7 linked regions of the Tribolium castaneum genome follow. The main gene of each other region encodes a partner of the protein of the gene in region 5 in a complex. Links are inferred from orthologs where the notes say so. Each region holds a gene or a part of one and is shown on either strand. Other genes may lie near its edges.

Region 1 (2,868 bases), on a different chromosome or scaffold from region 5:
ACCACCAGTTGATCAAGCCTTGGAAATGAGTCGCCTGTATGTTATTGATTTATTGATACCCATATCGCGTAATAATGACAATAAATAACTCGTTTGTTAAAGTATTTCGAAAAATTGATTACAGTTGGAAACTTATCATTATCGATACTGTGATACGATAATGTCATTGTTAAGAATATCGATAATATTCGGTGACTTTCTCTCGTTTTTCAGCCCTAGCTCTGCTGTAATAACGCGGTTTAATTTTCAAATTATCACACTACGACCCTGTGATAAAAAACTCACATATCCGATAAAAATTTAAATCAAAAAACCTACTTGTAAATTTGTACCTATCATAAAGACGCAATCAAAACAACAAACTTGTTTTTATAGAAAGTGAGTGTTGTTTAGAAATTTCAGAAAATGAGAAACTGCTTCATTTTTGTGATTATCATTTCATCAAACAATAAATTTGAATCACTTCAGCTTGTAGGGAATAATTAAATAATAGACGTTGGTATTACAATGAAATGTGTTTTATTTTCCTTCCATTATAAACAAACATAAGAAAACAATATTCGTCAGACGCAAACAAAGATCTTATCTAAACTGTCACGAAGAGTTGATTGATGAGATAAGCAGACAAGACTTTTTCCCCAAATAGCCGCCTCAATCTATTGATTTATCATTTTATTTCCCCTCATGGTATACTCTCCACACAAACTCGCTTAATTTTTTTATATAAATATGATGAATCAAGTCCAGGGAAAAAACACAAAACTACTGAGAATCGCTTGAGGAACTGCTGCTGGAGTCCGTGGACATGACCTCCACATCCTCGGTCTCCTGTTTATGGTTCCGCGTGTCCATCGGGACACTCCCTTGCCCCACACTCATGTGAATCTCCCCCGAGGGATGCCATGCAAATTGATTTTGTTGCGCGGCGGGTATTTCCCCCGGGTGCCCCTGTCTATGTAAATCTGACAAACTGTTCTGCTGTTGCAACAAATGCCCGTTAATTGGATCGCTCATCAGCCGCCCCAGCAGCCCCAACCGCATCTCAATATCGGTGGGGTACGGCCGGCGCGGGTCCCCCTGTTGCCACGTCAAGGGGGCACATATCGCATTAGACGCGCTAATCCTGTGCGCAAATTTGATAAGTTCCTCGGACGAGACCGGCCGTTTATTTGCGCGGGAAATGGACTGGAGTTTCTGGTTGGCTTGATAAATCGCAGTGGCCAGGATTTGCTCGGCCTCTTTGAGCTGTTTTTGCAAGTTGTTAATGTCGTTGTCCTGACGCTCCACTTCGGCCTTCAAGATGTCCATTTTTTTGTCGATTTGCGCCTGTTCAGCGGCCAGTTTAAGGGTTTCAGTCAGTTCGGTGTTTTTGGCCACCAAAAGCTCGGTCAGTTGAGCGTATTCAGGGCCGGAAAGCTTGAGGTGCTTGGGGGCGATTGAATTCTCGATTATTTCTCTAAAAAACGCAAATAAAACCATACGAAATGACCCGAAAGGGGGACGTACTTGGAGATTAACTCAATATCGTCGAGGATGTAAAGGAGTTTTTCCTTCGTGCTCATTTGAGACGACATAATGATGGGGAAAAACACTCACGGGTTTAAATATTAAACGAAATAATCAATTGAACAGTTTTTATTTCGAACACAACCTCAAATACACAAATGTCAAAATAACGCGCACACTGCGATGCCATCTGCCCAGAGAATAACTAAATCGTAAGAGCGGGAATTTTAATCGAAAAAATTACTTTATTGAAAGAAACCTAAGCTAAATTAAAATATATACACAAAATTCAATTCTCTTCACTCTTGACTTGAACCGCCGGCTCTTCCTGCTTCACATCGTCATCCTGTGTCTCATCTTTACTATTCTCATGCAATAAAACGTACTCCCTTGAGCTGAACCCAAACTTGATCACGTCTTTCTCCAACAACTCCACATATTTACTCGGCTCTATCTTCTTATTATTGATAAAAGTCCCATTAGCCGAGTTCAAATCAATCAAATACGGCCTTATTCTCTTCCCTGAAAAAAACAATGAAAAACCCAACACACTACCAGCTGTCCCACAAACCAGTGGTGCCATCCTCACGCGTGAAAGGGACTAGGCGATACTGCAAAGCTGCGTGTTGTTTTGAGCACGAAGGGTGATCTACAGGGAGATCAACAACTTTGCGATCGCGCCCAATCAAGTAGGCGCTTTCGCGATGTATGTATAAAGTCTGAAGGGCCTTTTCGCCCTTAAAAGGGTACAACCGCCACCGACGTTTCGGCTTGCAAGCCTCAGGCGGCTCGCTATATTTTATAACAACGCCACGATAAGTGTTAGTTTCTTCGGTAAGTTTTCCCGAAAGACCGAAATTCGGTTTTTGCTTTTCCTTCTGGTCTTTTTCCTTCTTGTCGGATTTTTTGTCGTCCGACTCGCGGCCCCAACGGGCGTTCGAGTGGTCAAAGGAGGCGCTTCTGCTACGCCGCCTTGGATGGTTCTCTCTGTTTCGCTCCCGGTTGTGGTAATTTTTGTTATCGTCCCGTCGGTTCCTGTAATCCCGTTCCCTGTCTCTGTAATCAGGACGCCGGTTTCTGAACCTGTTATCGTGAGAACGGTGGTCATTGGGGCGGTTTCTCCTGTCGTCATGCCGCCCCCGATCGTCCCGGACCCTCTTATCGTCCCTCTCCCGCCTGTCCCGATTTTCAGGCACAGGACTCCGCTTGCGTTTCCTTTAAACACAACTAGTATTTTCCCTTAAAACCACCAACAATCATACCTGTCGGTTTCTTCCTCATTTGTTGGCTTTTTGTCCCTCTTTTTTGCCTGTTTATTCGCCTCGTCACTTGCCACAGGCGGAGTTTCGTGTTTTTTATGCG
Region 2 (2,907 bases), on a different chromosome or scaffold from region 5:
CGAAATTTGAATACACGAGGTGATTTCGTACAGGGATGAGCGAGATTTTTTAAAAATCGGGATACTTACGATCGCCCATCTTCTACCGTTGGGATAATCGAACAAACAGGAGGAAAATGGATGCGAGGGAAAAGACGCTACGGATTGGGGGCTTGTGATTGGTCGGCGCTAACAGCCCTGCCAACCCCACCAAAAAAACACACTAAATAAAGCACGCCAAAATATTAAATTTTCCACAAACAACCTTGTTTTATATTCTCAGTTCCACTTGAATACCGTCGAGGTACTTAAAAACAACATTTGTGATGGATATAAATTGTAATAATAAGTTTGTATGAAACACAGCTGGAGAACTTGTTGTGGCAGCACTGAAAACCTTATCAGAGTTCAGGGTCGGCCTAAGGGCATTTGTAGGCCCTCAAATTTATTATTTTTTGATAATCATGAATTTAATTAATCTAGTGGTGCTAGCTTTGCTAAAACGACCAGTAAAAACTTAATAAAAATAACAGTCTGTTTATTTTCAAAAATAATAAACAATAAATAATAATAGATCTTAAACCTAGGGTAAGTTGGAATTATTCACAATCCAAAGATCTTCACGAATTTGAGTGTTGGCTGGGCGTTAGGCCCCCACTGTGTTCAGGACTGTGTTTCTGCTTTTTTCTCTTCTTTTCCTTTTTCCTCTTCTTCCGTTCTTTATCTTCGTCGTGTCGTTTCTGTTTTTTATGCTTCTTCTCGTGTGTATCACTTCCAGCATCGGTAATGGTAGTCTCCTGACTTGGAAGCCCCCCATCTTTGTGTTTGTGTTTTTTGTGTTTATTTTTATGCTTTTTCATAGGCGCCGCATTTGCGTAGCGGTATTGTTCAGGGAGCTAAAATCCAATACTCAACAAAACACATTAAAGGGAAATTATCAAGCTTACCGCCCCAGGGTGTAGTCTAAACCCATCCAGTTGGATGCTAGTCAATGGTAACAACTCCTTGCCCCCAATTGGAGGCTTCTCAATCACTGATCTTAGCGAACTGTTATCATGCTGTCCAGGAGAGTCAATAACGCCAGGCAAAGTTGGCAAAAACGAAGATAACTGTTCCTTGAGTTTTTTCCCACTGAATTTGCTGTAAGAGTGCTCAAGGCCATAATAGGCCATCAAATTCGTCGCTCCTGTTAGTTCCGACTCTCCTACAACCACCGTCCGCGTGATTTAAACGACTTCAAGCCTTGTCTTGCTTACCTGGAGGCTCTTTCATCAAATAGAAAGGTCCACTAGGGACAATTGAAGGGTTCTTTCCTAACAAAATTGTCGTTTTTAATGTTCCTGACGAATCCTGACGTGAAACGACAGGGGAACGAGCCCCTCTAGGCGAAGATTTGGGCGAATATTGTTCCACTTTACGAAACTGATCGCCCATCATCTTACAACTTCATCGTTTTGCAACAACGATGCAGCTGGAAATGGGAAATGTCACTTCAGCATCACGTACCAACACAAAATCGTCAAACAAACAAACAAATCAATTGTTACCCTGGTAATTTTCACGGTCTGGCGTTTGGAACCCTGCTAGTTTGGTAACTTTAGGTTTAGTTTGGTTGGCGAGATTGTGCAATTGTTACTGTTGCTAAGATACCGCGTCGAAGCCGCCGCCCCCAAAACATTGCTGGTTTTCTCAGTGAAAACATGCGTCTTTTGTGAAAAAAGTGGTTTGAGTTAACGAAAATGGGTTGTTGCGAGTCGAAAAAGGAGCCCGAGCGGGAAGAACCCGCTCAGAGAGGGTGCACCGACGTGTTTTGGTTGTGTTTGTACATTGCGTTTTGGTTACTAATGGTAAATAACCTTGATTGGTGTGTAATTTGCCTCATTAATATTTTTAGGTTTTAATTGCGGCGTTCTCCTTTGTCTACGGCAATCCCATCAGAATTATAAACGGCTATGACTCATTTGGGAACATTTGCGGGACAAAAAATAACAGAAAAATGTCCAATTTGGAAGTATCAGGACTGGACACTTCAGACAAACAATTTTTGCTCTTCTACGATATTAAAGAGCTGAAACAGTCGCTGAAGATATGCGTAAAACAGTGTCCCACGGAGACGTTAAAAAAAGTTGAAGATATCCAGAAATATTACCAAAAAACTGGCGTCAGTTTGTGTAGATATGATTTTAATTATGACGATTTTAAGAACAAGAGTATTGCGAATAAGGAGATTCTGAGTAGCTATTTAGGGCCGTGTCCGGCACTTCCTATTTACGAAAGGTATTTCCCCTAAACTTGTGTTCTATAAAGATAAAACTGGTTTTCTAAAGCACCCCAGTTCTCAACCGTTGCGTTCCTAAATCATTCCAAGATGCAGGCGAAGCAATTTTGAGCAATTTTTACGAAGCTTTGAACAGTTGGGACACACTTGAGCAAATTTTGGGCGACATATACAGCACCTGGAAGGAAATCCTTTATTTAACGTTTTTATCACTATGTGAGCCTTTGGATAGTCACAGGAAAATTTGTACAGTTTGATTTTCAGTTTTTTCGCTGTTAACTATCTCAATACTGCATCTACTGGCCCATTTAGTGTCGTACATAATCATGATTTTGTTCACAATTGCGAGCATCTTGGGCACAGCGTTTTTGTGGTACACTTATTTTGATATTAAGTATGATTTGGATAAGACGAACAAACACATGCTTTTGATGGAGTCAATTCGCAACGAAACGGCCTTTTTGTGGTACTCAATCATCGCCACCGTTATCACAGTAAGAGAAATAATTAAAACTTATCGGGATGTCGTTCATATAGTGAACGAAATAGCCTGTAAAATAACTCAAAATAGTCCGTAAAGTAGTGGAATACATACTTTTCTAACGAAATCGAGAATCAGCCTGCAAACCGACCCATATAGTTTAAAATGT
Region 3 (2,698 bases), on a different chromosome or scaffold from region 5:
GCAGTAAATCTTATTTAGTAATTTTTCGCCGTCGGGTTGGTCACGCAACTTATCGAAGACCTAGCCAAAAAGGCGTGTGATTTAAATTTTGACAAGTGATAGACATACGTACAGGACAATTGATGATATCTTCAAGTCTTTCGTTAGGTTTTTTCCCTTTTTTTGGACGAACTAACAAATAAATTGTTGATAATTGAGGACATGAGCGTAGTAATTTCTCGATTAGTACTTTCCCCATAAAACCAGTGGCGCCCGTGATGAGGATGTGTCGGTTTTTGTAGAATTCCGCAACCGCTGATTTATTGCTCATTGTTGAGAAACCTCAAAAACGATTAAGAATTGATTTATTTGCGTGTTGTGTAACGTGCACGCCACTGGTGAAAAAGTTAGGTAATAGGACAGTGGCGTACAAGGAAATGTCAAACACGATTTCGGCAAATATTTGATTGTGGACACAGCACTTGTGATAAGTAGCCGCGTAACAATACACGAGTTTTTGCACAATTGCTTTAACAAATAGAAAAAAATTTCAAAATAATGCAGTGAACTTTTTATGAATTTCGTCAATTCTCATTAATACATTAATAAAATAATAAGTAATGTGTTTCCATTAAAATTAGCAATGATAAATTACTGATATTTACTAAATTAAACAGTGAATTAATTATTGCATCAAATTTTTTATAAAACAAATGATCGAAAAATGAAGCAAAATCATATAAAAGGGTGACTTTGTTTTTTATTTTAATTATGATTACCAAGAAACTTTAATTTAATTAAAAATTGTAAAAATCGAAAAGCATTTTTTTAATTAATTCTTTACTTAAAAAGGATTTAATAGTAATAATAACTGATAATAATTAAACCGTAATTACAGTAAATTAAAAAGAAATTATGATTTTTAAACATATTTGAGACTAAAAACGCTAATCAGGCGTTAAATAGCTGATTAAATAATTAGAAAATTGTTAAATTAATTAATGAAATAATTAATGATAAGATAATTCAAAATTACAATAAATGAGCCAAAAAAAACGCGATTAAAGTCCTCACTTTAAATTTTTTATTGATCCCGCAAAAGTGAAAAGAAAAAATCTCGACTTACTGAAAGGCAGCAACAAAACAATAAAATTGTTCACACACAAAGCAGCAATGTTTTGTAGACAAAGCCGCAACCCATCCACCTGTTTTCATACAAATACCATTACCATATACCACCACCATGGGAATTTCCATGAAAATTCCTCGTGTTGGGGATCATTATGTTAGTCAGTTATTTTCTTATTGGTGGTCAATTTCCCGCTCAATTAAATAACTGGGCTACTTTCACCAGCGATTGATTTTTCCACACGCTTCTTACAACATGTACCGTTTCGATCCGATTTCTTATTATTGAGAATTGAATTACGCAAGAATAATACTTTCAATAGAAGAACAAGGGAATTTGCCAAGCCTCTAATGGTCGCTTTTCTATTGTTGTTACTTGTGACATTTTAAGTGCACGCTCTTACAACACGAACTTGCATTTATCCTAATTGATTAATTAAAAAAATTCGAATTCGAATCACGCGCCATTTTATGCACAACAAACATGGCTGGGAAAGGTAAGCGTCCTTTAATTAAATTTAGGTAATAAACAAGTTTTAGGCTGGAATTATATGTCAGGGGCTCCGGAAACCGACGATCAGCAAAGACTCCGCTTCCAGATTGAGCTAGAGTTTGTGCAGTGTCTCGGAAATCCTAATTATCTCAACTGTAATGACGTAACCTCACTTTTTCGGGAGGGAAAAAATACAATTTTTTGCGTTTTAGTTCTCGCACAGCGTGGTTATTTTAAGGATAGTACGTTTGTTAACTATTTGAAGTATTTGCTTTATTGGAAGGAGCCCGAATACGCCAAATATTTGAAATATCCAATGTGTTTGTATTTTTTGGATTTGTTGCAATATGAACACTTCCGGAGGGAATTGGTGAATGCTCAGTGTTCGAAATTTATCGACGATCAACAACTTTTATTGTGGCAACACTACACCAGGCGGAGGAGTCGTTTGTTAACCCCTTCGAATGTTAACGGGACAGGTGAACAAAGTATTAACCAGAATAGCCAAAGTAACGGACATTTGAGCAATAAAATCAGCTAGGTAGGGTACAAATGTGATTTTTTGGTGGTTAAGTGAAATAAATTATTTTTTTGTTTAGTTACATAAATCACCAAGATCCCACCAATTGCACCAAAATCCCACCCATTTCCATCCAAATCACAATTGATTGGCTGTCGCTGTAATTAAGGTAAGTTCCTTGTTTTTCCTTAAAAATCGTAAAAAATGCAAAATTTGTAACAAACCTCAAAACCAAAAGTCCCTGAACCCGCCCCGCCAAATTCAAATACAAGTTCCGTTTCTCGACCCAATTGGACTTAACTGTACACGAAATCCGCTCGACTTTCATACACCAAAAGTGTACTTGGCTTACACGATTTGTTTATTAATAATTGTTGACATGGTTCTATTAACAATCAAATCAATCATTTCGTTTCGATGCGTCCAACAATTAAAATGAATTTTTTCAAAATAATTTTTGTCGTTATTGTGATAATTTTGTGTGCTAGTGATGCGAAAATACGCAAGAAAAATACCAAAGGTTTGATTTTGCGGCAAAAAGAAACGAATGCGATTAATTTTCTCAGGTAAAAAAATAT
Region 4 (4,181 bases), on a different chromosome or scaffold from region 5:
GCTGTACTCAATCCCGGGCAATAGCCGGATCTGCAAGGGGTTGGTAGTCTAAGATTCGAATTACGGTCGTTCTGCACTCATCTGTTTAACGGATGAAGCTTATTTTATCAAAAATGCGAGTAGGTAAAGTCCATTATTTATCTTTAATTGTTAGAAAAGTAATTGGTTCAGAATTCTTGTCTCCGGTTTGCCTATGGCATCAGGAAATTCCAACATACTTGGGCTTTTGAGGAAGGAGTATAAATAAAGTTTTTCAAGTTTTTTCACTTTGAATCATTCTAGGTTCATTTTCAACAATGTAATATTATTTAACAAACACAAATTTAAAAGTGTTGAAATTAGACAATCGAATTTTGCATGATTGTGTAAAGTATTGAAAATTAACAAGAAAAAATGAAAACTTAAAAAAATAAAGATCAAATAATTGAAAGTGGACGTGAGGCGACCATGCTATATAAAAATCAAATTAACAAAACTTGGACTTTATTTATATCACAAAATAGTTACTTCCAAGTCCCACTGATGAAATAATCTTCCGTCGTGACATACATAATGTTACCGTAAGTCGCACAAGTCTCTTTTAAAAGTCCCTTTTTTAATGTAGCTAAAGATTATAATAGCATCCATCGACAGTTCTAGAAATTGAATCTTCTTATAGTTTCAAGGCTGCAATATTTGACAAATAATTTTCCGAACAAGGACAGTCATGGGAATCTACTGGTTATTTTGTACTGGTTTGTTATGTCAATTTTTTTTTATTTTGTCTTTATTCATTTGCTGTATATTTCTTCTTGTTTGAAAGGTTTAAGTGGAAGAGCAGAGAACAGCAACTTTGCTGTTCATTTGAAACCACCTGTTTATTCGTACATATAACGGGTTTTTATTATTATTATTTTTCCTTAAGTTGTAGATACTAATCACCTGCCTCATCTAAAACTACTTTCAAATATACAGAGTAATTCAAAAGTACTCGTACAATCTCTCGGGTGCTGATAAAGGACATCAAACTGAATTAAAAGTTCCTATGACAAAAAATTGTTTGAGTCTTTTTTCACGAGATAGCTACAGCTCTTCAAAGTTAAATTTTTAAGTTAATTTTTTGATGCTTCGGACCATATTTTTTTGACCTTAATTAGCAGAAACGACATCTCTTGCAACATTAAACAAATACCTGTTGAAAAAAATTAACAAATAATGTCTAATTATGTGCAAAACAATAAAAAAACTTGTAAATTCGACAATATCTTAAATTCAACATATTAGGAAACAAAAGAGAAACAATCGATACCGTTGCTAAGGAATACAAACTTAAAAATATATAAAAAAATCTGACTTCATTTTTGTGCTTAACTGAACGTCTTTTATCACCATACGAGTGTTTGTCGAACATTTTTGAATCATCCTGTATAGGATATTTCCGAAATTAGCTACAATACAAACTTATTTTTTTAAGAATGTTCAAAGTTAAATTGGTTAACGCATGCAATTAGGAACGTAGAAAAATTATGAAGTTTGTTAAAAGTTGAATAACATAATAAAAGTTTTTGTTTTTATTTTTCAAAGATTATTAAATTGTCTACTTAAAAACAAAGTTTCAAATGCCTAACCTTTATAATTAAACAAATATTTGACTTTAAAATTTAATTTCATCAACAATGCAGATTATTCATGAGGATTACTGTTACCATAACCTTAGCAACTTCACCACGGATCATTTGTTGGAGTTTAAACAGGGATTTAAAAATTCGCCATAGATAAGAAAATTTTAGTTATTTTACTGTGAAAAATAACTGAAAAATAATAAAGTTATTATTAGCTGAAAATTTTACTCTTCGACTATTGAAACAATTGTGAATAATTTTTAATGACTTTTTTTAATGTTTTAAGTTAAGTATAATCTTTTGAGTAATCAGCACTTAACTGTTAATGTTCTTTAATAGACAATTTAAAGGTCTTTTAGATGCAAAAATAAAAAATACGGTATTTCATTTAAGTTTAAAGTTATTCAAATTTTAACAAGCCTCTTAACTTTTTTTATTTTCTTGATTGCAGTGAGCTAAAAAATAATTATATCCTTAAAGTTTTCTAACGTGGAACCATAACTTTTTTCATTATAGTGTAATTTGTAACATATTTTGCTCAATACTGAAGTCGTATTTGCTATTTCCCGCTTCAATTATCTGATTGTTTTCTCAAAAACTACAATATTACAACCCCACCTCATTTTCTCAAACAAGTGGACTGAGGTTGTTTTTCCCCTGTAGCCTTCAGTTGTAAAATACTGAAAAAAGGCTAAAATTCGACGCTTTTTAGCCCCCTTTACCATGGCCTGGAACATTTTTTTTAGGAAACCTATTCGCGATACAATCCTTTGGACTTTGGATATTATCTCTGATAAAAAGATATTTTCATCCGGTAACCAGAAGATAGTACAGTATGATCCTAATTCGTATCCCCTACTATGGGTATGAAGTGATTAGGGTGGAAGAAAGTTACCTCGGCTCTGGCTTGGTCCAAACGTTTTTGCAACTCGAGCACCTTCTGGGAACAGTCTTGCGACTCTCGTGCCTTGGCGGTGTTATCGTGGTGGTCTTTCTCAACACTGAATGATTATGCAAGACATTACGATTTTGCCTGTCACTAATTTTATCAACAAACCTGCGTATTATTTCGTAGATAATGGGCAAGATCTCGATATTCAAATTTTCCACCGTGACATTCCTCTCTGACTCCTGGTTGTGCTCGTCAGATTCCATCATAGCAAGGCATTTCCTGAATTTTCATTGAATTTTCTTTCCCACATGAATTTTCTGACACATTCACTCAGGGATTTTGTGTCCCTGGTGTTGGCGACGACGCCTCAAATGTCACAAGTGTCAATAATAATGTCAAACTAAAAACAACAATAATTTCTGATTTTGGAAAAACTTGGCAATTTCAAGCCCGCAGAATGGGTTCGTTGGCTAGCAGACAACACGCAGGGGTCGAGGAAGTGGACGTGGTGTCAAACCACGCGTACAAGTACCCGCCCAGGTCTGGTATGTCGCTTTGCTTTTTTCCGTACCAATTACCTTGAAGGCGTTTTTCTGAAGGGAACTACTTCGGGAGCCACTTTATAATGGGGGGCGAGCGCTTCGACACCCCCCAGCCCGAGTCTTACCTCTTCGGCGAGAACTCCGATTTGAATTTCCTGGGCAGTAGACCAACCCCTGTAAGTAGCCATTATGCGGTTGTTTCGCCCCCACAGTGCCGTTTCTAGTTTCCCTACCCCCCGCCCCAGCCTAATGAGCCCACAAAAACGCTCAAAAGTCTGGTGAACATCCGGAAAGAGTCGCTGCGGTTTGTCCGCGCCCCTGCTGATTATTCCAAACCGGCGGAAAAGAACGAGCGGGACATCAGGGATATTGAGCTGGGCAAGAGCTCGACGTTTAATATCGAGTTCACGTTCGATTGTGACGTCAGGTGTGCAATAACAATCTACTATTTTTGTACCGAGGAGTTTACACCAAGTGGAGTCACGTAAGTTGGGTTTTTGTCATGGGTTTGCAATTTTATGGGGTTTGAAGGTACTTGCCGCGTGACCCTAACACGACCTCCGAGACTTTTCATTACAAACGCGGTGCGAACCAACAGTTTTGCCAAATGACTCACGTTTTTGATCCCTCGAAGTACACAGAAGAGGAGTTGTTGTATGATGTTGACCGGGAGATTATTCCAATTGCCATTCACTGTGTGGCGGAGGAAGGCGCTGAGGGTTGGTTTGACCCGTTTTTGAATTTAATTTTTGAATTGATTGTTCCAGAAATGAGACAATCACACACAACTATCGCCACAGCCGAAAAATTGTCCGACGGTACTTATGTTTTAAAAGCTCTCAAACAGAAATTATTCGTTGACGGTCTTTGCTACCTCCTGCAGGAAATATACGGCATTGAGAACAAAAATAACGACAAGGTGATTGATTATTTACATGCCCTACTGGGCATAAATACACAGTGAAATCTCTCTTAACGGACACCTATAAGCGGAACTCTCTCACAAACGGACAATTTTGTTGGCACTAAGCCACAATAAATAATACACATAACTTTAAAACCTCTTCTGAGGCCAGAATCTAAATCAGTTTACTATTGAATAAAACATGTATTCTTTTTTTTCTGACGAATTGTCATAATTAACAT
Region 5 (4,054 bases):
TGAATTTTACTCGCAAAATTCGAGGTGTTGCGCCTAAAGCACACATTAAAAGTGTTTCCGGTTCCAATAACAATATTCATCAAAAAATTTGTTTAGTCAGGTATCAAAATATTTTCAAGGTGGTGGCACTTCCGCTTATACAGAAATTGGAAACATTTTTTTTAGTGAAAAGCTATATTCTTTATTGCTTTTTTTTGGCTACTCAAATTTTTCTCAAATATTTTGTGTTTATGTTTCCTTTTGTTTTCTAGATATGTATTTATATTTTTTTAAAACTGTTTAGATTTGCACCTTCCCTTTCAAAAATCGACAACATTGTCATTTATAATATTTCGAAATCGTATTTGGGCATTTAGAAGAGAAAGCTTTATTCCCTTATTGGTGTTTTCAAAAAAGTTAAAAAAAACATTTTAAAGTTACGTTTGGGAACATCTCATTTTTTTTAATGTAACCCTAAGCTTTATAAATAACTTGAAAAATATTATGGTGGTTATAGTTGGCTCGATGCAAAATTACTGGTAGTTTTTTTCTTCATTTAGTAAAGAAAGAATCAATTTGGCAAAATTGTGTTTTAAGTAGTTGAATTTCTTCAAACGTAATCTTTCAAATTTAGAGTTTGTCACTCTTTACGGAATTTAAAATTTGAAAAAAATCTAATCATTTTCTTTGAAATACTCTACAGGAACTTCGATTTTTGAAAAAGAAGGTGCAAATCAAAAAAATATAAATATTACAAAAACTGTTAACTTTGCTATAAAAAAACTGGTAAAAACTCCTTAAAATATCTCGCATAATACAAAAATACAGTAAAATCATAAGCTTTCTATTTAAAACAATAATTAAATAATAAAATTTTGTCACCCAATGTCGGTAAACTAGGAACCTACCTGCATAGCGATATTTTCATGCACAAATACTGCACGTAGAAAAACTGTTGCACTGCCGAGGGCTGGCGATTAAAACTTTCGGTGAGTCGGTCACATATCGCGTCCAACATTCCAGGTCTTAACACTAGCAACAAGTCTAACCAATCAAAACCGCTCATCATGCAATACTCTAAAATCGTGGTACAGTAAGGTACACTTAGAGGCGTTGAGCTGTCGATTTGGGGCGGTAACTTAAACATATGCAGACTATCGTCTGAATCAATCACGAGTAAAATATTGCCGAGCCAGGACATGTCAATGTTTGAGATTTTGATGCTAGTTTTGGGGTATCTGGCGAGAGGTTCGTCAAAATAACGCGGACAAATGGTCAAAGTGGTGCTGACCAAATGTTTTAGAGTGTCTCTGTAGAGGCAATGGATGGAATTGTCGGCAAATGTGGCCACGACATAACCACTTGAAACATTATTTAATAGACTTAGTTTACTTGTAGCTAGTGAAGTGACCTTGCTGTTATACTGGAAGTGGCACTGGTATTGCCACAACTAAAAAATAAGTAAGTATCGATTATCACATGATGAGATAATAGACGTACGACAGTGTTAAAAAACTGGGGAGTTTCAGATTTTCCTAGTGATTTGTGAACCGGCAAAGCCTTCTCTCTCAATTCCCACACTTGCAAACAGCTTATTTTATCACTAGTGGCTGAAACAACCACCGAATCTGCGTCCTCTCTCATTATCCATTTGATATGACTTATGTGGCAATTTTTTTCTTTGGAAACTTGTTCCACTAAAACAAACGTTAAACAACGGCTTAAATGACTCAGTTTGTTACTTAATGCTTCCTTAGGCGCCTCAAATAGAAAAAAACTGAGTAAAGACTGGCTTGTGATGACACACTTATCTTCAGCTTTCCTGACAGAGACTTTATAACACTGAATAGGCATTGATAAGTCTCCGTTACTCACAGCGAGCAAAAAATGACCGTCTACACAATAACATTATTTGGTGTTTAAATGATTTTGTAAAAAACCTACTTTTGCCATAGCAAATATCAGCAGCTTTGATAAAAATCCTAGTAGGGGCCAGGCTTTCTGTCGCCATGACCATTGCGACCTGGCTCGTGCTTTGGGGGAGTAAAATCGAGCACAACATTCCCGTCGTTGTGAGTAGCAGGGCCCCACTGGCAGGGCGCCCCCCAAACTGTTTAACAGAGCAGGCAAACTTGACATGGTGAAACTTTTCCGTGTACAAAGCGCTGTCTTTTTTCTCAGAGTTGAGGCAGATTTTCTTGCCCGAGTGGAAAAACGCCGCTGACAGAATGTGCTCCCCTTCTAGGACAGTCTGGAGGACAAGGGTCCAGTCATTTAGGATGTGGTCTTTAGCTTTGTAAATTTTTATCGAGCCGTTTTCGTCCGCGACTAGCAGAAGGTCGCCCGTAAAGTCCCACTGGAGCACCGAAATGGGGGAAGAGTTTGATAATATTCTGGAAATGGAGGTTTAATACAGGAAAGTGTTTTTGGGGACGTACTTGTGGACCTGCCAGGGACTGTTTAAATCGCAGACGTAGACATTAGAGTTCCAAAAGAGGGAACCCGCTTCTTCGATATTGCATTCCGTGCTGAAAGCAACAACGTTGGAGCTTGAAATCGAGCATAAGGTTGACTTCTCGAGTCTGGAATTCAAACGGTTGGTAAATGGTTAACTTTCGTTTGGGCGGTACTTGGTGAATGATAGATGCTTGCTGGTGTCCACCGATTTATTTATTTTCTTATTAATGGTGAAAATATGGTCCATTTTTCGGTATTTATCTAATGAAGCATCTTTTTAAAACTTTACTGAATTGGCAGATTTTTGACACCTGACAGCTGTCGGGCATACGCGTGAATGTACGCTGACGAGAAATCTTCTATTCTCATAAAATTGCTCACAAAAGTAAATTACGAAGTGTTGTTCGAATTGTGTAAGCTCTGAGTTTAGGTTTGATGGATAGAAAAAAAAATAAAAGGTTAGCGATTAGTAGAGAATTCTCATGAGTGTACATTCTCGGGAGATGCAATACTGGTTGCGCGCGAAACATTGCCAACGTTACGAGGGACAACATAAAAGTATCCAAATACGAGAAGTACCCACCTGGGCGGAGTTTAATTGGATATTGGTGTTTAAATACTGGATGTCTTATTTCAGTTCCTTTTCAAACCTTGCAATAGTAAAGCAAGTCCACATGCGACTGCTTTAAAAACCCCTGATTTAGTAACCTTTTTTTAAAGTAGTCATGCCCCAGTGGGTGCTATAAGAATTTAGCAAACTCTATTTCGTGGAGGTGGTTTGAATAAATTGCAACGAAAATTGTAAAGGACTTTTATTGTATATTCTAAGTGTATAATACAAAAAATATTTTCATAATGGCCTATAACTGTATAAACAATGCCTTTAATAACAATCTTAAAATAATGAAGACATAAGTTGTGACTAAAACAACCAAGAAACAACGCCTTTCATAAATTAGTACCGATTTTTAATAACTGTAGGGCATCTGGGAAATAACGCTAGAGATATCGGATAGTGTCACTTGAGAGGAATGTTATTCGTTTTTAAAAAATAAATGCAAAAGCGTAAGTACTTAGGGGAATTAGGTAATATGCACAAGCAACAATTACACATCGTTTCATTCTTATTGGTAGACACGAATTGTGCGTTTAAAAGTTTCAATCGGGGAAAATTTAACGTTGTCGAATTTCACTATAAAATTACATAAAATCTTAAAATAAATTATTATATAAAGAATATTTAAAAATAGATGAGCCAGAGCGAAGAGCCCCATTCACGATGTATAAAAGGAAGCAAAGTTTAAAATTAAAATCGCAAAATAGTGGTTTGTGATACCTAGTCGACGTGTAAAAATCTGATAAAACTTCACAAACCATTATTTCAAACACAAGCATAGTCACGACAAGAAATAAGAGTACGGGCATATCTATCTATTGTTACATAGAAATAGATATCCACCTCCCCACTAATGGTAGTGTAAGTCAATCGAATTACGCAGCCAGTCAGCAGGGGGGTGGGCGTGACCTCAGTAAGCCGACGCTTCTTTGTATTCTGAACCTTCCATGGTGAAAAAGTCTTCTAATTTCCACTGTAACGTCTCAAACGTCGGCCTTTTCA
Region 6 (4,015 bases), on a different chromosome or scaffold from region 5:
AAGGGATTATAATGCGAAACTGGTCCTTAATCTTAAAAGAAAAGATTTGATAAAAAAAAATAAAAACAAAAAAATCATATTTTTTTCACATTTAGATTTAGTGTTATTATTAAAACTTGTGAATCTAAAACTAATTTATTTTTAAGATTTTTAAAATTAATTAAATTTTAGTAGAGAGGCTGAGGATAGGTTGTGAATAACGTGTGAATTTTTTGAGATTTTTTTCAAATTTGAAACCCCCTCAAACTCCAGAAAAAGAATGCGTTGTATTTGGGAGAAGGTTCGAAGAAATTATTAGGGATGCCTTGACTAAGCATTAATTTATATATTATTAAATATTCAAATTATTAATTAAAAAAAACAATTACAGGACATAAGTTTCTAATTTCCAGTCTAATTTTGATATTGTTAAAATCTTTAATAATTAAAACCTGCCTAAATAATTTTTTTAGAGTTATTTTCATACACAAGATTTTTTTGTCCCATCCGCCATGTGTAAACAAAAAGTAAATTAATCGTGGTTTCAAAAGTTTCAACAAAATCTACCATTTATTTATAAAGTAATTCTTAGAATTAGTGCCTTTTAAATTAACAGAATTTTATAAAGATTGTTTAGCGATAAAAATGTAAGGTCTTTTTTGTGTCCCGTCCGTCACCAATTTGTATTCTTTTTCCTGCTCATATTTCAAATTTTACAAATGTGGCTCCGACTATTGTAGGTTGCAAATTGTTTGACTGGTACTAAGTTCCTATAAAGAAAAATTCACTTCTACTGATACTGGTGATAAAAATTGGTAAAAAATCTATAGTGTCCCGTCCGTTAAAATGAAATGGCTGCTTATATATCAAGAATTGAGGTGGTTAATTAACTATTTTTTGACGTGAAATTAATTGTTTTTTTAATAATAATATAATAATAATAATTTATTTGTGGCAGTAAAACAGTTACAATATAATTAATTACAACAAGAAAAAAAATACGATAACAAAATTAAAATTTTCTACGAGTTGTTCCTACCACAAAGTGGACCAAAAGACAGCAAAGCTGATCAAGGTTTTGACCCAGACAATAAATGAGAAATAACAAAAAAATAAACAATTTGATTGAAGAAAAAAATAAAAAATATAATAATAATAAAATATCTAATTCTATTTAACAAAATTATAGAGCAAAAAAACACATAAGAAAAATCATTTTGTAAGAAACATTTTGTATTTATGTTTAAAATTGCTGATTTTAGAATTTTTTAATGTCAGAGGAACTTCATTAAGTAGATTATTTTTGATTATTTACCATTTTTTGGCTCTCGAAAAGTTTGTACCGCAAACTAGGAGAATCAGTAGTCAACATGACCATTTTTTTATAAATATTATTGCCAACCACTTACCACAAAAAGGCCCTTATTGTTCCCAGACTCCATTTTCCCTTCACTGGCGTGATGTACTATTAAACTAAGTAACGGATGAGTTGCTGATTGTTCTATAGTATCCAATTCAGTAACTTGTTGAATTTGTCTAACTAAATTGACACACATTGGCATTGGTTTGTTTAATTTGAGGACAAAACAGGCCGGAATTGCTGCACTATTTTGGCTACTTAGCGATGAAAAAGACGGCGTACTAAAATAAATTTCCCTCAAAGAAAAAAAAATTTTTTTTAATAATTTTTACCTTTTCCCGTTAATATTCCTATTAACTGTGATGAGAGTGGTCGTTTGCAACTTATGTGTAGCGGACCCTTCCATACACACCGTCACACTGTACCCCAGCGCTTTACTAACGATCGTATCAACAGTAATAGGTTCAATATCACATTTCTCAACATTTAATAAATCATAAGGAGAGACAAAATAGGTGAGTTTCATGGGGTGTCCCCCTCGGCGCTTCTCCAGCACCCCAACCGGAGACTTATACAGCAGGTTGAAAGGTTCCTTCATGAAAGACTGCAAGTGAGCCAAGGTGCTCAAATCAGACTCCAGCGACTGCAAGGCTGTGAACGCCTTACACTTGACCTTTTTCTCAGCATTGAGCTGGTAAATCGAGGCAAAACCTTCCAACTGGGCAGTGAAATCGGCAAAATCGCCACTAGATAAACAATTGACGAGCTCAGCGCAACTCTGTTGCTCCAATTTACTGTCATGGTGCACTTTCACGTCTTTGACGGCCCCCGTCTGGTCGAGCACTATCTCCAGGTAGAACATGTCGGAGGAGATGAAGAGCTCCACCCCCGAGGGGCCCACCATGAACTTGAGCCCCAGCTGCCGCGTCAAGCTCTCCAGCCGCTCGATCATGCTCTGCAAGGACGTCACTTTGATGGAGTGCTGCAGAGTGTCGAGGCATTTCTGGTGCTGGCTCTTCTCGACGCTGTCCAACGCGTAGCGCTTGTCCTGAAAGTAGGGCATCAATGGAGGCAGTGCCAGACATGACATAACCTACAAGCATGGCCATTCGCACATTTTTGGATATCTCTGTCAAGCTTTTGTACTGCGACGCCTTCGAGCGCAGCTTCTCCATCAATATCTCCAACTGCCAGTCTTTGGATTTGTCCACAACGGACGGTGGCATCGCTAAATTGCCTTAAAAGTAAACAAAGTTGTAAATGTCAAAAGTCAAACTCTTGGCTGGGGCGCGCAACCCACCGTTTGTTACGCGATTCATGATGAGTTCGGGCGAAATTAACGTTAAATGTTCGTAAACATTTTCTATTTGGGGCGAATTAAGGGAAAAAAACCGATTTTTCGAACATACATCAGCACCAAACAAAAACTTGACAGTTTCGTTACTTTCCCCAATTTAGGGATATTTGGCTACGCCACCGGCGCCCAATTCAAACTCGTGTCTGATAATAACAATAACAATAAAAATATTCAAGTGCTTTTCCATTCATTTGTGTTTACCAACTCTCAACTTTATCAAGATTTGATACTTTGGAGTGCTTTGAATTGGTGGCACATATGTTGTGCTTATTGCAACGCAAATATTTTAATGAAATGTGGTCGTAAAACAAACTCCCGGAATTAATCCGCGTTTTTTACCAACGAATTTCGTATTAGATCCGTCAATGACAATTAAAGCCGTAATTCGCTACAACTTTTCAACTTTTTAGATCGCAAGAAGTTGCTGACACGATAATCTCCTCATCTTCCCCCAGAACTGGAGCAAATGCCCGCTAACACATCACAACTAAGATAATAGTACACCATAGGCACATTTCCAAAATTTTGAATAGTTTATTCTCGTTTTTTTTTTTATAAAGAAATCAAATACGTTGTGCGTTAGTTTATACCACATAATGTTTTTTTTTATTATTTTGTAGGCATTCAACAAAAATCACATAAAATTGCTTAGTTTACTGTATTTCAAAATTTCTTAGATAGATGTTTTTTACAAAAAATGTTTCCAAACCGTTAAAACATGATATGAGGGAGTTTTAGAAGAAATCAAGCAAGATTGACTACTTTATTTTACTCCATGTGATTCAGATAAAATGAAAAGCTTTCAAAAACCAAATGCAACAAAAAATAATTTACACGAAGGGTGTTTTACATTTTATTTCTGTAATAAATTAATAATAGCCCCCGTCACCTTAGGTATCGTCTGATATTAAAGAAGAACCTTGGTCCCCTTTATACCATTGTATTTGCTGTTTCAAAACTATAAAAACGTCAACGTCACATTTTCTCACAAAATTTGCTGTGATGTGTGCTGTTATAAATTATTCATGCAGTTGAAGAAAATAATAACTAATGTAATTTATACTTTCAATGAGATATCTAATCATTAATAACTATTTTACAATTTTATCAACCTTATTTAAAAAATATTTGGTAAAGTGCGTCGTTGTTGTTTTTATAGTTTTGAAACAGCTAGTGGCAGATTTAGTGTAATAAAATTAAAAGAAAAAAAATTGTAGTAGTTATTTTTTTTAACAAGTTGCTTTGTAATACAAGCATAAACTAAATAACTCAAAATTGCCAGAAATCACGTAAATACATTAGTTTAATGAGTTATAAAA
Region 7 (2,750 bases), on a different chromosome or scaffold from region 5:
GTTAAAATACCAGGTGTCATCACTTTGGTAGACACCCCCTAACTTTTTTATTTAAAAAAGTATAAAAAGACATATTCAGGGTTTTAGGGAAAGGTTTAGCAATATTTTTTTAAGGATTTTTCAAGGCTGTGTAGATTGCTGTTAGTTTTTAAGATATCAGTCAATGTTTGGGAAAGTAGTTAAAATACCAGGTGTCATCACTTTGGTAGACACCCCCTAACTTTTTTATTTAAAAAAGTATAAAAAGACATATTCAGGGTTTTAGGGAATGGTTAAGCAATATTTTATTAAGGATTTTTCAAGGCTGTGTAGATTGCTGTTAGTTTTTAAGATATCAGTCAAAGTTTGGGAAAGTAGTTAAAATACCAGGTGTCATCACTTTAGTAGACACCCCCTAACTTTTTTATTTAAAAAAGTATAAAAAGACATATTCAGGGTTTTAGGGAAAGGTTTGGCAATATTTTTTAAGGATTTTTCAAGGCTATATAGATTGTTGTTAGTTAAATCTTAATTGTATTTTATTTATAAATAAATTACGGTAAATTTCCAAGTCTTTTATAATCGATTTTTTCAAGCTGAACCAACGGCCTCAACTGCTCGGCAAAAATTCTCATATCCTCCGCAATAGCATCTTGTCCACTCGGGGCCAAAACGGACAATTCAACTAAATAACTCTGGGAAATCGCTTCTACGCCTTCGCCCGGCTTACTCGTCATGCTCCCCATTTTGAAAATCTTCGACACTGTGATTTTCATCCTGCCTTTGCGGAACATGTACCCCCGGGCGATGTACTCAAAATCCACTCTGCATCCAAGCTCGGTCAAAAATTCAACAATTGTGGAACTGCAAGCCATGTCAATACTCGATCTGACGACTGTTGGCCGGTTCTTGTCGCCTAGCTCCTGTTGCCCCACGTAGCGCAGCTGCCAGGCGGCGTCGGGCACGTCGAGGGCTCGCCGGACTCGCAGTGGGAGCACCATGGGGGCCCCTGGGTTGGTGGCCCGGAGGGTGAAACACAATTCGTGGTCGTGGAACGACTCAGGGCCGCTGTCTACGTTGTCGCACAGCCCGCGCAAGCGGTGGAGGAGCACCTCGACGTATTGGTCCAAGACTGAGCCCTGGAGGAGGTACTCCTGGTTGGGGATTATGTTGCATTTGAGGGCGGCGTTTAGGGAGTCGATGGCCGTGCCAGGAGTCCCCATTTCTGTAACAGTGACAATCACTTTGCGGAAAACGGCCTATTTCCGACAATTACTGAAGATTATCACAGTTTTTGGAGGTTATGTTTTGATTGAAGTGTAAGTTGTCAGTGTATGTCGGCGGAGACAGCCCCAAAAATGGTGGTGGCACCATGAAAATTACAGTCGACCAGACAAGGGCTGCGCGCATGGAGCTAGCACCGTTTCCCCACCATTCTCGTTTTCTACAGCCAAGTTCACACCAGGAAAATTATCAAAATAATCGTAATTCATTATAAAAACATCAATAAGTTGTTACGCTGACTTGCATAACACATTTGTAGAACATCTCCTGACCATTGTAATGAGTTTCTATTACAAATTAAAACTTAACTGTATTTAATTTCTGCATTTTTTATTCTCATATTCAAGCAATGCAAACTGATTTTTTTTCACCCCCTTTATATGCAATTTTCTTTATTTTTGCAGGAGATTAAGCTCTTCGATAGGGCCTTTGACTGTTAAAAATCATGTTCGGACAAACACCCCTTGGGACCTTAATGAATTTTTAAAGATTCTTTAAAATTTTCCGATTTCGCAAATTTTATCTTTAAAAATTCATTACAGTATTCAGAATGGCCTCCGAAGGGCGAATCAGTTATTACAGGAAATGAGGAAAATAGTAAAAATAACGAATAAGAATTTTGCAAAATGCTTTTATAGAAAAGTTGTTGTACTTTATGTTTTATTACGTGGTAAACTTAACACACCTTAACATGCCCTTTATAAACGATTAAACGCCCTTTTTCATCAAAATGTTTAAGACGTAAAGTTCATTTTTGCCCTTTATACATTTCAATAAATCATACTGAAGTTTATGTCGTTGACTCAAAGGTAAATTTATCTGTCCATAACATATTCAATAGTAATTAATAACGCTCTAAAAGAGCAGAAACAGACACAAAATCCATAAAAATGAAAGATTTGACATTTCCAAATGATAACATAACCCTACTTTTAAAACCGAATTTTCTGGAGACTTAAATTTAACACAATTTGTGGCGATACCAGTAATTTTCACACCAAAATTTCACATCAACGGCTCGTTTGCACAAATAAAAGGAGGAAAATAGTGAAAATAATAAATAAGAGTTCTGCAAAATGCTTTTATAGAAAAGTTGTTGTATTTTATGTTTTATTATATGGCAAACTTAACACACCTATACATGCCTTTTATAAACGATTAAACGTCCTTTTTCATCAAAATGTTTAACACGAAAAGTTCATTCTTGCCCTATATACATTTCAATAAATCACACTGAAGTTTATGTCGTTGACTCAAAGGTAGATTTATCTGCCTATAACATATTGAATAATAGTTATAAACGCTCTAAAAGAGCAGAAACGGACACTAAAATCCAAAAAATGAATGATTTGACATTTCCAAATGATAACATAACCCTACTTTTAAAACCGAATTTTCTGGAGACTTAAATTTAACACAATTTGTGGCGATACCACTAATTTTCACACCAAAATTTCACATCACCGGCTCGTTTGCACAAATAAAAG

What was found.
Region 1: MED16 (region 5) and MED4 share a complex: the UniProt entries of both Drosophila melanogaster proteins name them as parts of the mediator complex. The link is inferred for Tribolium castaneum from reciprocal best matches to the Drosophila melanogaster genes MED16 and MED4.
Region 2: MED16 (region 5) and MED19 share a complex: the UniProt entries of both Drosophila melanogaster proteins name them as parts of the mediator complex. The link is inferred for Tribolium castaneum from reciprocal best matches to the Drosophila melanogaster genes MED16 and MED19.
Region 3: MED16 (region 5) and MED31 share a complex: the UniProt entries of both Drosophila melanogaster proteins name them as parts of the mediator complex. The link is inferred for Tribolium castaneum from reciprocal best matches to the Drosophila melanogaster genes MED16 and MED31.
Region 4: MED16 (region 5) and MED9 share a complex: the UniProt entries of both Drosophila melanogaster proteins name them as parts of the mediator complex. The link is inferred for Tribolium castaneum from reciprocal best matches to the Drosophila melanogaster genes MED16 and MED9.
Region 6: MED16 (region 5) and MED1 share a complex: the UniProt entries of both Drosophila melanogaster proteins name them as parts of the mediator complex. The link is inferred for Tribolium castaneum from reciprocal best matches to the Drosophila melanogaster genes MED16 and MED1.
Region 7: MED16 (region 5) and MED18 share a complex: the UniProt entries of both Drosophila melanogaster proteins name them as parts of the mediator complex. The link is inferred for Tribolium castaneum from reciprocal best matches to the Drosophila melanogaster genes MED16 and MED18.

The regions. Positions count from the first base shown.
Region 1 is NC_087397.1:1,784,347-1,787,214, forward strand, and holds MED4 (mediator of RNA polymerase II transcription subunit 4), read right to left. Parts: upstream 1,697-2,868; 5' UTR 1,575-1,696; coding exon 1,507-1,574; intron 1,457-1,506; coding exon 763-1,456; 3' UTR 501-762; downstream 1-500. Other genes in the region: uncharacterized protein LOC661495, read right to left, coding at 1,796-2,028, 2,078-2,721, 2,769-2,868. UniProt on the Drosophila melanogaster protein: Component of the Mediator complex, a coactivator involved in the regulated transcription of nearly all RNA polymerase II-dependent genes.
Region 2 is NC_087395.1:19,591,557-19,594,463, forward strand, and holds MED19 (mediator of RNA polymerase II transcription subunit 19), read right to left. Parts: upstream 1,490-2,907; 5' UTR 1,417-1,489; coding exon 1,236-1,416; intron 1,184-1,235; coding exon 927-1,183; intron 876-926; coding exon 600-875; 3' UTR 501-599; downstream 1-500. Other genes in the region: RNA-binding protein cabeza, read right to left, coding at 70-79; Ctl1 (choline transporter-like 1), read left to right, coding at 1,719-1,826, 1,874-2,256, 2,307-2,473, 2,522-2,751. UniProt on the Drosophila melanogaster protein: Component of the Mediator complex, a coactivator involved in the regulated transcription of nearly all RNA polymerase II-dependent genes.
Region 3 is NC_087401.1:17,495,425-17,498,122, forward strand, and holds MED31 (mediator of RNA polymerase II transcription subunit 31), read left to right. Parts: upstream 1-1,152; 5' UTR 1,153-1,591; coding exon 1,592-1,604; intron 1,605-1,647; coding exon 1,648-1,755; intron 1,756-1,812; coding exon 1,813-2,141; 3' UTR 2,142-2,198; downstream 2,199-2,698. Other genes in the region: uncharacterized protein LOC656943, read right to left, coding at 1-60, 113-321. UniProt on the Drosophila melanogaster protein: Component of the Mediator complex, a coactivator involved in the regulated transcription of nearly all RNA polymerase II-dependent genes.
Region 4 is NC_087395.1:15,956,684-15,960,864, forward strand, and holds the start of MED9 (mediator of RNA polymerase II transcription subunit 9), read right to left. Parts: upstream 2,801-4,181; 5' UTR 2,760-2,800; coding exon 2,659-2,759; intron 2,603-2,658; coding exon 2,497-2,602; intron 31-2,496; coding exon 1-30. Other genes in the region: Mrgn1 (E3 ubiquitin-protein ligase MGRN1), read left to right, coding at 2,951-3,033, 3,079-3,211, 3,260-3,519, 3,567-3,754, 3,803-3,954. UniProt on the Drosophila melanogaster protein: Component of the Mediator complex, a coactivator involved in the regulated transcription of nearly all RNA polymerase II-dependent genes.
Region 5 is NC_087396.1:16,567,347-16,571,400, forward strand, and holds the start of MED16 (mediator of RNA polymerase II transcription subunit 16), read right to left. Parts: upstream 2,801-4,054; 5' UTR 2,684-2,800; coding exon 2,610-2,683; intron 2,562-2,609; coding exon 2,418-2,561; intron 2,373-2,417; coding exon 1,924-2,372; intron 1,875-1,923; coding exon 1,722-1,874; intron 1,677-1,721; coding exon 1,480-1,676; intron 1,430-1,479; coding exon 888-1,429; intron 1-887. Other genes in the region: tyrosine-protein kinase Src42A, read right to left, coding at 3,963-4,054. UniProt on the Drosophila melanogaster protein: Component of the Mediator complex, a coactivator involved in the regulated transcription of nearly all RNA polymerase II-dependent genes.
Region 6 is NC_087399.1:8,918,250-8,922,264, forward strand, and holds the start of MED1 (mediator of RNA polymerase II transcription subunit 1), read right to left. Parts: upstream 2,801-4,015; 5' UTR 2,659-2,800; coding exon 2,640-2,658; intron 2,577-2,639; coding exon 2,437-2,576; intron 2,388-2,436; coding exon 1,672-2,387; intron 1,621-1,671; coding exon 1,389-1,620; intron 1-1,388. UniProt on the Drosophila melanogaster protein: Component of the Mediator complex, a coactivator involved in the regulated transcription of nearly all RNA polymerase II-dependent genes.
Region 7 is NC_087394.1:9,286,381-9,289,130, reverse strand, and holds MED18 (mediator of RNA polymerase II transcription subunit 18), read right to left. Parts: upstream 1,414-2,750; 5' UTR 1,256-1,413; intron 1,205-1,255; 5' UTR 1,203-1,204; coding exon 534-1,202; 3' UTR 501-533; downstream 1-500. UniProt on the Drosophila melanogaster protein: Component of the Mediator complex, a coactivator involved in the regulated transcription of nearly all RNA polymerase II-dependent genes.